3 linked regions of the Cricetulus griseus genome follow. The protein of the gene in region 1 interacts with the protein of each later gene in a pairwise test. Links are inferred from orthologs where the notes say so. Each region holds a gene or a part of one and is shown in the gene's direction. Other genes may lie near its edges. The genes, in order: Vti1b, Ptpn5 and Trim59.

Evidence for each region.
Region 2: the proteins of Vti1b (region 1) and Ptpn5 interact in binary tests that used the Homo sapiens proteins (3 or more experiments, as listed by UniProt). The two-hybrid records come from large-scale screens. The link is inferred for Cricetulus griseus from reciprocal best matches to the Homo sapiens genes VTI1B and PTPN5.
Region 3: the proteins of Vti1b (region 1) and Trim59 interact in binary tests that used the Homo sapiens proteins (3 or more experiments, as listed by UniProt). The two-hybrid records come from large-scale screens. The link is inferred for Cricetulus griseus from reciprocal best matches to the Homo sapiens genes VTI1B and TRIM59.

What each region holds. Positions count from the first base shown.
Region 1 is NC_048598.1:124,459,698-124,463,906, forward strand, and holds the start of Vti1b (vesicle transport through interaction with t-SNAREs homolog 1B), read left to right. Parts: upstream 1-1,317; 5' UTR 1,318-1,629; coding exon 1,630-1,744; intron 1,745-4,209. UniProt on the Homo sapiens protein: V-SNARE that mediates vesicle transport pathways through interactions with t-SNAREs on the target membrane. These interactions are proposed to mediate aspects of the specificity of vesicle trafficking and to promote fusion of the lipid bilayers.
Region 2 is NC_048596.1:145,242,824-145,246,472, reverse strand, and holds part of Ptpn5 (tyrosine-protein phosphatase non-receptor type 5), read left to right. Parts: intron 1-189; coding exon 190-297; intron 298-546; coding exon 547-630; intron 631-1,042; coding exon 1,043-1,284; intron 1,285-2,299; coding exon 2,300-2,489; intron 2,490-3,649. UniProt on the Homo sapiens protein: May regulate the activity of several effector molecules involved in synaptic plasticity and neuronal cell survival, including MAPKs, Src family kinases and NMDA receptors.
Region 3 is NW_023276806.1:84,099,088-84,102,736, forward strand, and holds part of Trim59 (tripartite motif-containing protein 59), read left to right. Parts: intron 1-2,924; 5' UTR 2,925-2,927; coding exon 2,928-3,649. UniProt on the Homo sapiens protein: E3 ubiquitin ligase involved in different processes such as development and immune response. Serves as a negative regulator for innate immune signaling pathways by suppressing RLR-induced activation of IRF3/7 and NF-kappa-B via interaction with adapter ECSIT.

The sequences.
Region 1 (4,209 bases):
CCAGGGCTCTTATTCATGCCAGGCTCTCCTTATTTGTACCTCTTTATTTCTGTGACAGAGAAATATAAGGCTTGGAGCTGATGAGACAGAACCGTTATTAGGATCATACAACTCTTACATGCATGACAGACAGCTCACAACCACCTGCAACTCCAGCTCCAGGTGTTCCAAAACCCTCTCTGGATTCCACAGCCAGTACACTTGCACTCATACATGTATACACACACTTAAATATAATTATTTTAATTTAATTTTTGAGGCAGGATTTCTATGTATAGCCCTGCTGTCCTGGAACTCTGTAGACCAGGCTGGCCTTGAACTCAGTGATCCATCAGCCTCTGCCTCCCAAGTGCTGGGGTTAAAAGCATGTGACACCACTCCTGGCCCATCTTTTAACTTTGTAAGAAAAAGAAATATAAGACTTTGCACCACCACTAACAACCCTAGACTTTGTCATCTCTGCACAATGCATGTTACATTTTATTTATTGAGTTCAATGGTCAATGAGTTCAAACTAGTAAAACCCAGGGCTTCAAAGACAAAAAAAAAAAAAAAAAAAAACCAACACCAAAACATTCCCCCAGGAACCTGCTCCCCTACACACCTTGGAAAATGGAATGTGGGACTTTGATTAAATCTATCTATCTATCTATCTATCTATCTATCTATCTATCTATCTATCTCCATGTTTAAATACTGAGCTCTCTCACCCAAACTTTTGAAGAGCAGGCTTTTTGTGCAAACCATACACAGAAAGGACTTCATGATTGTTGACATATTTCACTTAACGGCAGATTAGATGTGGTAAGACCGGTTTGCCTTCCACACCAGATCATAAATTACCCAAGGGCAGAGACAAAATCTATTTTGTTCAACATATGACTCGGTCTTTGCATAATGTCTATGCTTAAACCTGTTGTGAGAACCCAGGGCAGCCTAATGAACTACACTGGCGAAGCCCCTAGAAGCCCAGTTTCCTCTTCTGAAAGCATGTGACACTTAAGCCCCCCCAATATCAGTGTTTTACCATTAGAGGGCAGGCAGGACTCTGCTCACCTATCTATCAAGGGTTAAGAGTAAACATTTAATCGAATCAGAGAGCTGAACGAACTGCGATGACAGATAGGTTGATGGAGGCTCCTATGCTCTCCCAGTCTCTGCGCAACAGGGCTGACCTTCCACGCCCCTGCACAGCCGCGACCCATCTGCCCAACTCCCTCACTTAACTACAATTCCCAGCATGCACCGCAGGCCCGGTGTGCCCGGATGAGGCGGCCGAGGCGCCCGTCCCGCGGGCCCCCTGGGGCCCTTCGCCTTGGTACCTCCCCAGCCCGGCTGGCAGTCTCCAGCTCGGAGACAGCCGATCGTCCCCCGCGCGGCGCCGCGCCCCTGGAGTAGCCGGGAGTCGTCCTCGCCCCCGGCTTTCCGTCAGGCTTTGGCGCCCGGCGCCCGCGCGGCGACAGCAAGGGGAGGGCGTCCGGCTCGGAGGACCCCGGAAGCACCTGGTTCCGGCTGGCCCGGGTACGGCGGTCGCGGTGATGGCTTCGGGACCCGGCAGCTGAGCGCTGAAGGGTGAGTGGGCCCTGCGCCCGGAATCTCAGAGGCCGACGCTCACGTGCAGCCTGCGCCATGGCCACCTCCGCCGCCTCCTCCGAGCATTTCGAGAAGCTGCACGAGATCTTCCGCGGCCTTCTTGAAGACCTACGAGGAGTTCCCGAGCGGCTGCTGGGGACCGCGGGGACAGGTGAGGCGGGGGCGGGACCAGACCCGAACACCACCCGCCCGGTGCTGTCCTCCCAGATGCGGACCCCTGGCTCCCCCGGCACGCCCCCTGCTGCTGTCCGGCCCGCGAAGCCCAGGGTCTGCTGCAGCCACTTGGCTTGCAATGAGATAGACAGACACCAGGGTGTCGTCTCTTAGGGATCCTCTAGTGTCCTACTCCCCCCAACCCCAATTCTTAGTTATCTGCCTCTCCCAGGAGCAAAGGAGGTTCTTAAATCTGCGGTCCTGTATTTCATTAAAACGACTTCTAAAAAAAATCGTAAGATTGGAGGTTGGGGATGTAGGAGTTTGGTAGTTTGATAGGCAATGAAAAATTTTAATTAATTCTAACCATAGCGTTTAGCTTATAGGTGAGACAGAGGCCGGAAGTGAGGGAAGGCAAACAGTTACATTGAAGAGGAACTTGAATGTGTCACATAATACTGTTGGATGTCTTGGGGGAAATCCGTAAGGATCATAAGCAGTTGGGTAATGTGGATTTCATTTTAGAAGCAAGGCTGCGGTAGCTGGATAGAGGATGTGAGAATGGATATGAGGCTGTGTTAGGAGCTTCCATGACAGTTGACTAGGTAAGCATGGGACTCTGGAGAGTGAGCATTAAATCCAACAGGTGGTTCCGAGGCAGACTTATGAGACTGGTGGATAAGAATAGGAAGAAAGATTGAAGAGTTTCCGTGTTTTCTCACGTGATCAGTTGAGTGGATGAACTTAAATATGAGGAGCAGATTGGTTTGAGTTATAGATGTGACTGGCTACCTGTAGAGTGTATTCTGTATCTAGCCTGACAAAATATTTTTCTGCCATTAAAACCATCATCAAGAATTCATTAATAAAGTAGATATTGTAAAAACCAAGAATTTGCCAGTGGCAAATTTTCTTTTCTTTCTTTCTTTTTTTTTTCTTTTTTCTTTTTCTTTTTTTTTGTTTTTTGTTTTGTTTTGTTTTTTGTTTTTTGAGACAGGGTTTCTCTGTATTGCTTTGGAGCCTGTCCTGGAACTCTCTTTGTAGACCAGGCTGGCCTTGAACTCCCAGAGATCCGCCAGCCTCTGCCTCCCAAGTGCTGGGATTAAAGGCGTGTTCCACCAACACCCAGCCCCAGAGGCAAACACTTTTAATCCTAGCACCTGGCATGTAGAAGCAGGAGAATCTGTGTGAGTTAAAGGCCAGCTTGATCTACCTAGCAGACTAGGTTTTATATAGTAAGACATTGGGGGGGCGGGGCAGACTGGCTTCAGACTGGCTTAGTAGCTATGTGACCTTGCAAGTTTTTTAACCAAACTAGCTTCCTCTACAAAATAAAATAGCATCTAACTTCATGGGGTTTTTTGTGAGGAGTGAATGAGTTAATATATGTAAATCCCTTAAAAATACTATCTGGCAAGAGCTACTAGCTATTATTCATATTTGGGAATTTACTGTTTTTTTTTGTTTAATTTAAAATATTAGCTCTTTATGTAGCTAGCTATTCTTAGGATGCTCTGTTTTGTTTGTTTGGTTTTGGTTTTCTTGTTTCTCTGTGGAGCCCTGGCTGACCTGGAACTCTCTCTGTAGACCAGGCTGGCCTCGGACTCATAAGTACATCTGCATCTGCCTCCTGAGTTCTGGGATTAAAGGGGTGCTCCATTACAGACCCAGATTCAGAACACTTACTTCCTAATGTACTCAACACTTTACATATTTATGATACAGTATATTGCTTGGCTTTCTGTGACTAGAAAAGGAGTTTGGAAATGTGCTCTACAAATCAGCACCATCAACACCACCTGGGAACTTGTTAGACACACATGCTTACCCCCCACCCCAACCTCCACCCCCACCCCAGCAAACAGAATCACTAACTGTTGTGACAAGCAGTCTGTCTTAACTGCTCTCAGAAGGATTTCTGGGGCTGGCTTAAGTTTGAGAACCAATGATCTAGAAATGAAATAATATTTTGTTCTGTGTAGTGTGTGTAATAAACTCCCAGGCATAGTGCCCAGCACGCCTGTATCTGAGTGTGGTAGTGCACACTTAGGAGGCAGAGGCAGCAATGGGTCTCTCTGACTTTGAGGCCAGCCTGGGGTTACACAGTTGAGACCCTTTCTCAAAACATAAAATGAACAACATATATATTTGTTAAATTATTGTAAAAATCATTTTTGGTTGTTAAAGGTACTATGAGTTCTTAGAAGAAAATAGCTGAGTAGGCATAATAATGTGTTTTTTTCATATTTTCATTACTCTTCAAATCGATATATATATACCTGTTAAAACAACCAAAGCAAAAGAGATACTTATTTCCCCAAAGTGTAGTCTGTATTCTCTCTTGGCCCTTGAAGGATAACTGTCACGGTGTGTCCTAATTTAGGAAGTTTTTGTGGCAATGACAGTCTTGCCATGTATGGTAATCATTAATCTCAAAGCCTGTTTCCATTTTATTCCAGAATA
Region 2 (3,649 bases), on another chromosome or scaffold:
CTCTGTCTCAGCCACCTGTGATTAGTCTTTCTCCCAAAGAATGCTGGGTGGCCCTTCCCTCTACTGCCCAGTCTGAGAGGCTCACGAGTTTCCTGGGACCCAGGTTGGGGCTGAAGGTGAGCTTTGCAGGGCAATATAGGGGCAACGGGCTGCAGCTATACGCTCAGTCTGCTCCCCTGACTGCCCCAGCTCGCCTGTGGGGTGCTCTGGCTCAGTGGCCATGGCCACTCCTGGCTGCAGAACACCACAGACCTCATCTCCTCCTCGCTCACACTGTTGAACCATCTGGGACCTGTGGTGAGTAAACTCTGGGGACCCCTAGAACAATGGGGGTGGAGTGGGATAACCTGGGACTTCCCATCCCTCCCTCACTACTCCTGGCTGGGGCATCTCTGAGTTCAAGAGATGTTTCCAAGAACCCAAAGGCCATCTGTGTGCATCCCATCCAGACCCAGGATGGGTTTTCTTATTACTTGTGAAATAGATAAGAATATTGTCCTCCCCCAACCCCTCAGGACACTGACCAGTTTGTCTGATGTTCCCCAGGCCTGGCTGGGTTCTGGTATCTGGGGAATCCCAAGTCTGCTGCTCGTCTCTGTAACTGTGGGCCTGGTCATCATCACCACCCTGGTAAAGTGCCTCCTTGTCTTCAGCCACAGGCAGTTGTTCCCTCTCTAGAAAGCCCCATTTCCCATTAGATCCATCTGATCCCCAGGCAGGCTAACCTGGGTTCTGAATAGGGTGAAGATAGCCTTGTCGCCTTCAGCAGCATGCCTACTTAAAGCAAGAGGCTCCTTTCTAGAAGTGATAGGCCTGAAAGAAAGGGCTGAGGCAGAAAGAACCTCTAGTACCTACCCAGAGGGATTAAACCCACTAAAAACTGGGGACAGAGAAGGGAGAGTGGGGATAGAACCTGACATCTAGGACCCAGGAGAATGTGGTTGCTGTAGACCTTATAGCATCAGACAGCTCAATCCCAAGGGGTACCTCCATGAATCCAGCAGGCAGCGAGCATGATCCCAGGCTGTATGCTCCCAACCAGGTGTGGCACCTCCTCAAGGCACCCCCAGAGCCACCGGTACCACTGCCCCCAGAGGACAGGCGCCAATCAGTGAGCCGCCAGCCCTCCTTCACCTATTCGGAGTGGATGGAGGAGAAGGTAGAGGATGACTTCCTGGACCTGGACGCGGTGCCTGAGACACCTGTGTTTGACTGTGTGATGGACATCAAGCCTGAGACTGATCCCACCTCGTTGACTGTCAAGTCCATGGGTCTGCAGGAGAGGTGGGAGGGGTAGACGAGGGGTGGGCTGGGGATCACAAATTCTCAGCTCCCATTAGAAGGGAGCTCCTGGTTTAGAGCACAAGGTTATCCTCATCACTTAGTGTGTGTAGACACATGCTTTTCCAGTAATGCACATTGACCAGGGTACTTCAAGATAAATGCCCAAGAGTGCACACCCATACTCTCCTTGGCTTGAGGAAGTCAGAGTTGGTTTCCTTATATAGGGCTTGCTGGGGCCTTCAATTTAACTGTGTTCCTTGTGACTTGACAAAGGGACAATAGGTACCATTTCCCAAAACCTAGAGTGCCCCATAGGATTCCATGAGCAAGTTTTGGGAGGGAGTGACAATCTGAGTTTAGGGCTGGGTAAGCAAGCTTACACACGGTTTGGAGTACACAGAAGATGTCATAGAATGTACTGGATAAGGACTCAGAAAACCTAGACAATAGTTTTTGACTCTGCCACTTCATCATAGTGAAATCCTGGACAATGCTAGAGCCCTCCTGAAACTCAGTGTCCCTTTCTACACAACGAGGATCCCCCCTATCCGAAGGTTTGAGGCACTGAGCATGATGGAGTTGGCCCAGTATAGATATCCTTGCTGCGAATGGCTGTCTTTGAGCTCCTTTCTTCCCTGGATGCAGAGGGCCCTGGCCTCTGCTAGCTGAGATGCACTCGATGCCATGACAACCTCATTCTAGAACTGTGATTCTGGGGTCTGAAGCTGTGCTCTTGGGCTTGAGGCTCACCTTAGCATATGTCTCCCCAGTGGGCCTCCTTCCACAACAGAGTCCAGAGGAGGGCCATTAGGGATTGCTTAAGGGTTGAGCTTTTGGAACTGGGGCCCTCACCCCACTGTAAGAAGGAGTGGACAGAGGTGTAGACAGAACCATGTGCTCCTTAGGATAGGTTCCTGTCACATCCCTCTTCCTGGAGCCCACCCTGCTCTCCTCTGACCATCTTCTTGCTTCCTTTCATGTCTAAGGCTAGTATCTTCTTCTATGACCCTTGCAGGAGGGGCTCCAATGTCTCCTTGACCCTGGACATGTGTACCCCTGGCTGCAATGAGGAGGGTTTCGGCTACCTGGTGTCCCCACGAGAGGAGTCAGCCCACGAGTACCTGCTCAGTGCCTCCCGTGTCCTCCGAGCAGAGGAGCTGCATGAAAAGGCCCTGGACCCCTTCTTGCTGCAGGCAGAATTCTTTGTGAGTCCCTTGAAGTGACCATCCACCTTTGCATGCATAATAGTCCACCACCCGGCCAGTCAGTACCCCAGAGTATACAAACCCATACATGGAATAGACTAGTATCCCCTTGTCGTCTCTCCCAGCATCCTGGAAATGCTCTTAATCTCTGAGACCTGATGTCCTCATCTGGAAATTCAGACAAATGGCAGGGTCTTCGCAGGAGTTAAGGGTGACGATACCATATACTAGGCAGACAGTAGTACTTCTGGATCTGATGGAAGGACTGTGCTCTGGAATCCGAAGAAAGCAACCTCCTCCTGGTGGTGCAGTTCAGGGGTAGAACATGTGCCTAGTAGCATACACAAAGCTTGGTCAACCCTCAAGGAGAAAAGAAAGCCTCTCCTATCTTCCCGCCCTCCTCTGCCTGATAACATCAAAGATGTTTGTCCCCATGCTCCTGTCCCCACCCCCCTTTTCTCCCTTGGGTTTCAAGCTCAGGCCCTAAATCCTTTCCCAACCTCAAGACAGGTTTCTCTGTGTATAGTCCTGGCTGTCCTGGAACTCGCCCTGTAGACCAGGCTGGCCTCAAACTCATAGAAATCTGCCTGCCTCTGCCTCCCAGGTGCTGGGGTTTAGGTGTGTGCTACCACTGCCAGGCCTGCACCCCTAGTTAATAAAAGAACATCAATGGGGGAAAGGAGGAACTGAAGCCCAACAGCCCACTTTCCCATCAAACTCACAAGCCAGGTAGCTAATCCACTGTGCCTCTTTGGCTCAGTGCTCCAAGATCTCCAGAGCTTGTCTCCACCTGCAAAAAACCTAAAGTGGTGGGCACCAGCTTTCTTCTCCAGCCTTGAGCTCCACCCAAATACCAGCAGGCCAAGTGACCAGTACCTTCCTCACATCATTCCCACCTCAGTGAGCCCATAAATCCTTCCTCCATCACCCCAGCTCCAGCTCTCAGCTCCCACCATCATCCTCTCCCTTTGAAAACAGTCCTCTGTGTCCCTTCCTGTTCAGTAGATATTGTAGATTTTGCCAGGGAGAAGAAACAAGTCTGCTCACCAACTCCATGGTCAGTTCTGCAATTGTGTATTGTGGGGATTTTTTTAATTATTATTTCTTTTGATTCTCACAAGAGCCCTAGATGGTATCTCTATCTGCACTGGGCAAAGACC
Region 3 (3,649 bases), on another chromosome or scaffold:
GGCAGGTGCCACCACACCTAGCTTTGGCTTTTTTTAATAAGAAAAATTTTAGTTCTTTTTATCCCCCCTCCCAGTATACTTTTGTCAGTCTGGCAAATCAGTAAGAAACTTCTTACAACTTAAAAGTTGAGCTATAGGGTCATTAAATGGATTCTCAGAGATTCTCACTTCCCCCTGTCCCCAAAATTGAGTGTTTTATATTTGTACAAATATGTATGTTGCCTTCTCCTCCCAGGACATGTGTGGGGGGTCTCCTTCTAACTTCTTGGAGACTTTTTTTTTTTTTCCCACCTCTGCCTCCGTTTTGCTGTCTGCATGCCTGGTTTATTGATATGTACTGTGTCCAGCTTTCCATGGATTCTGGGGATTCAAACTCAGGTCCTCAAGCTTGCATTAGTAAATGGTTTTCCATTGAGCCATGTCCAAACCCCTCCCTAGCTTCCTGTGAGACACACGAAATAGAACTTTGAAGATTTAATAATACTAGAGCTATTTAATGTGTAAGCAAACTAGTCCTAAAATCTAATTTTCTTGAAGTTTTGCTACCTGCATACCAAATAGCTAATACTAAATCTGGCTTGAATGTATGTTCATTGCTTAAATTTTATTCCTTTCAAATAACTATTCTGTATTTTCCTTCATTGTACATTTTGAGGTCATTGAAGTACTCTGAGAAACAGATTTGTTTTTCTTCGGTAATTTTTGTATGACTTCACAGCTCTCTGTGGGTGTGGGATAAAGTTGTAAAGGCCTTTTCTAAATGTGCATTCACTTGTGTTTCTTTTCAATGACTGTCGCCTTCTGTACTGTTGTTCAGTCATTTGTTTCCTGGGATCCTGTGCAGGTCAAGACTTAGTTTCTACATGCCACAACTTGACTCCCTTTGGATCCTGAATATTGTCAGACAATACATGAGATATTTTCTGATGGCCTCTTCATTGCTTCTAAGAGATTTTATTATTTGAAAGCCCAGATCACTGTTAACACTGCTATTGTTTAGATACTATTTCTGACCTTACAGGAGGCTTATATTCTGATACATAATATAAATGTTACATTCTTATGAAGTCTTGTTCAGAGCTTGAAGTAAAATGTCTCTTTAATTAAATTCATGAAGACACTTAATCTGGGTAATGGCAGTCTCAGATGGTTAGAGCTAAGGAAACAGATTGGGTGGGGCTTTAAAGAATAATTAGTTACTTTTAGTTGCTATTGCTACAAACTTTTTGGTGACGCTGGAGATGCAAGATACCACACTCTACTAAATTACTTCCGTAGCCCCATTTTTTATGAACTTTTAATCTGGAACTAGTTTATGTAGGTTTTGGTAGTTTTTTTTTTTTTTTTTTTTTTTTTTGAGACAGGGTTTCTCTGGCTTTGGAGGCTGTTCTGGAACTAGCTCTTGAAGGCCAGGCTATCTTGAACTCACAGAGATCCACCTGCCTCTGCCTCCCGAGTGCTGGGATTAAAGGCAGGGATTAAAGGCATGCACCACCACCGCCCGGCCATTTTGGCAACTTTTATATTCTTTATAAAGAACACCTAGGATTGTTTAAGGTTCTTTTAAACAGTGAGTTTTGCCTGCCAAAGGATAGGCAGTTTTGAGGTAGGCTGCAGAACTGCCACCTTTTGTTGGAAATATTAATAGCTGATGGAGGACCATCATCTGTCAGTGAATCTCTGAACAATTGATGGGTTCATTTTTCTGCTTTAGGGATATTCTTGAGCTACATTTTTAAAAAGGGCAAGTGTGTGCATGAGTGTTGTGAGGCAGGTATGTACGGGTACTGGGAAAGTGTTGGATACCCTGGAGCTAGTTTTATATGTGGTTGTGAGCTTCCTTGTGTCCTGGGAACTGAATTCTGGTCCTCTGGAAGAACAAGTTTGCAGTCATAACCACAGAACTATCTCTTGAGCCTCTCTAACATTGTAAGTGAAGGAAATAGATGAGTGGTATCCTTTATTTTCTTTGCCATTTGTTTTAGATTCTCACTTTTCAATCAGTACTTATCACCACAATCAGCTCCTGTTTTTCAAATCATTTTTATTGCTAATGCTAATTATAATTAACTTTTTTCCCTTTCAAATCTTCAAGTTAAAATTACCGCTTTAGAAAACCTCAGTATAGGTTTGGATCCCGGGTTGTATAACTCATTGTTAAGTATTTGCCTAACATGTAGAGGCCTTCAGTTTGATTATTAGTATCACACACATACACACAAAAAAAAGGCAAAAGGAAAAGAGAGGAAGAAATAGGAATTGCTATATGCTGATCTTACATTAATAGTAATAATTTGTAGAGAATTCAAATGTAAGAATCATTGAAGCTGGGGTGATGCCTCATACCTGCAACTCTAGCATTTATCTCAGCAAAAAACCAAAACGATCACAAACAGGTACTTTTTCCCCCTCACTTTAAATGGAATGTATAGTTTTGTTTATTCCTTAAGTTTTTTGTTTTTTGAGACAGGGTTTCTCTGTGTAGCTTTGGAGCCTGTCCTGGCACTTGCTCTATAGACCAGGCTGGCCTCAAACTCACAGAGATCCACTTGCTTCTGCTTCCCCAGTGCTGGAATTAAAGGTGTGTACCACCAGTGTACTTTTTACTTTGGTATCTTAGAAAGTAATGACTTCCATATAATAATAGTAATTATTAAGTAGACTTCAACTGAAGTGTAGCCTTCATTACATAAAACCAGATTGACTGATTTGAAGCATTTTATTACAAATTATTTGAGATTTTGTTGAAAGGAATAAACTCTTAAGGTGATCCACTTACTTACTAAGAAAGCGTCATCTAAAAAGAAATCTCTGCTTTTCTTTTAAATGGCAAATACAGTATTTAATTCGAAGATCATGCCTAAAATCTTAACATAGTATGTGCCAGATATATGCTTAAATTTTTTTTTTTTTTGTCTTGACAGGAAATGCACAATTTTGAGGAGGAGTTAACGTGTCCCATTTGTTACAGTATTTTTGAAGATCCTCGAGTACTACCATGCTCTCATACATTTTGTAGAAATTGTTTGGAAAATGTTCTTCAGGCATCTGGTAACTTTTATATATGGAGACCTTTGCGAATTCCACTCAAGTGCCCTAACTGCAGAAGTATTATTGAAATTGCTTCAACTGGTATAGAATCCTTACCTGTAAATTTTGCATTAAGAGCAATTATTGAAAAGTACCAGCAAGAAGACCACCCAGATGTTGTCACCTGCCCTGAACATTACAGGCAACCATTAAATGTTTATTGTCTACTAGATAAAAAATTAGTTTGTGGCCATTGTCTTACTATAGGCCAACATCATGGTCATCCTATAGATGACCTTCAAAGTGCCTATTTGAAAGAAAAAGATACACCTCAGAAGTTGTTTAAACAGTTAACGGACACACATTGGACAGATATCACTCGTCTTATTGAAAAGCTTGAAGAACAGAAATGTCATTCTGAGAAAATGCTTCAAGGTGATAAGGAGGTTGTTCTCCAGTACTTTAAGGAGCTTACTGATGCATTAGAACAGAAGAAAAAAAAATTTTTGGCAGCTCTCTGTGATGTTGGCAAGCTGATTAATCAAGAATACACTCCACAGATTGAAAGAGTGAAGGAGATAAGAGAACAACAACTTGAGTTAATGACAGTGACTACATC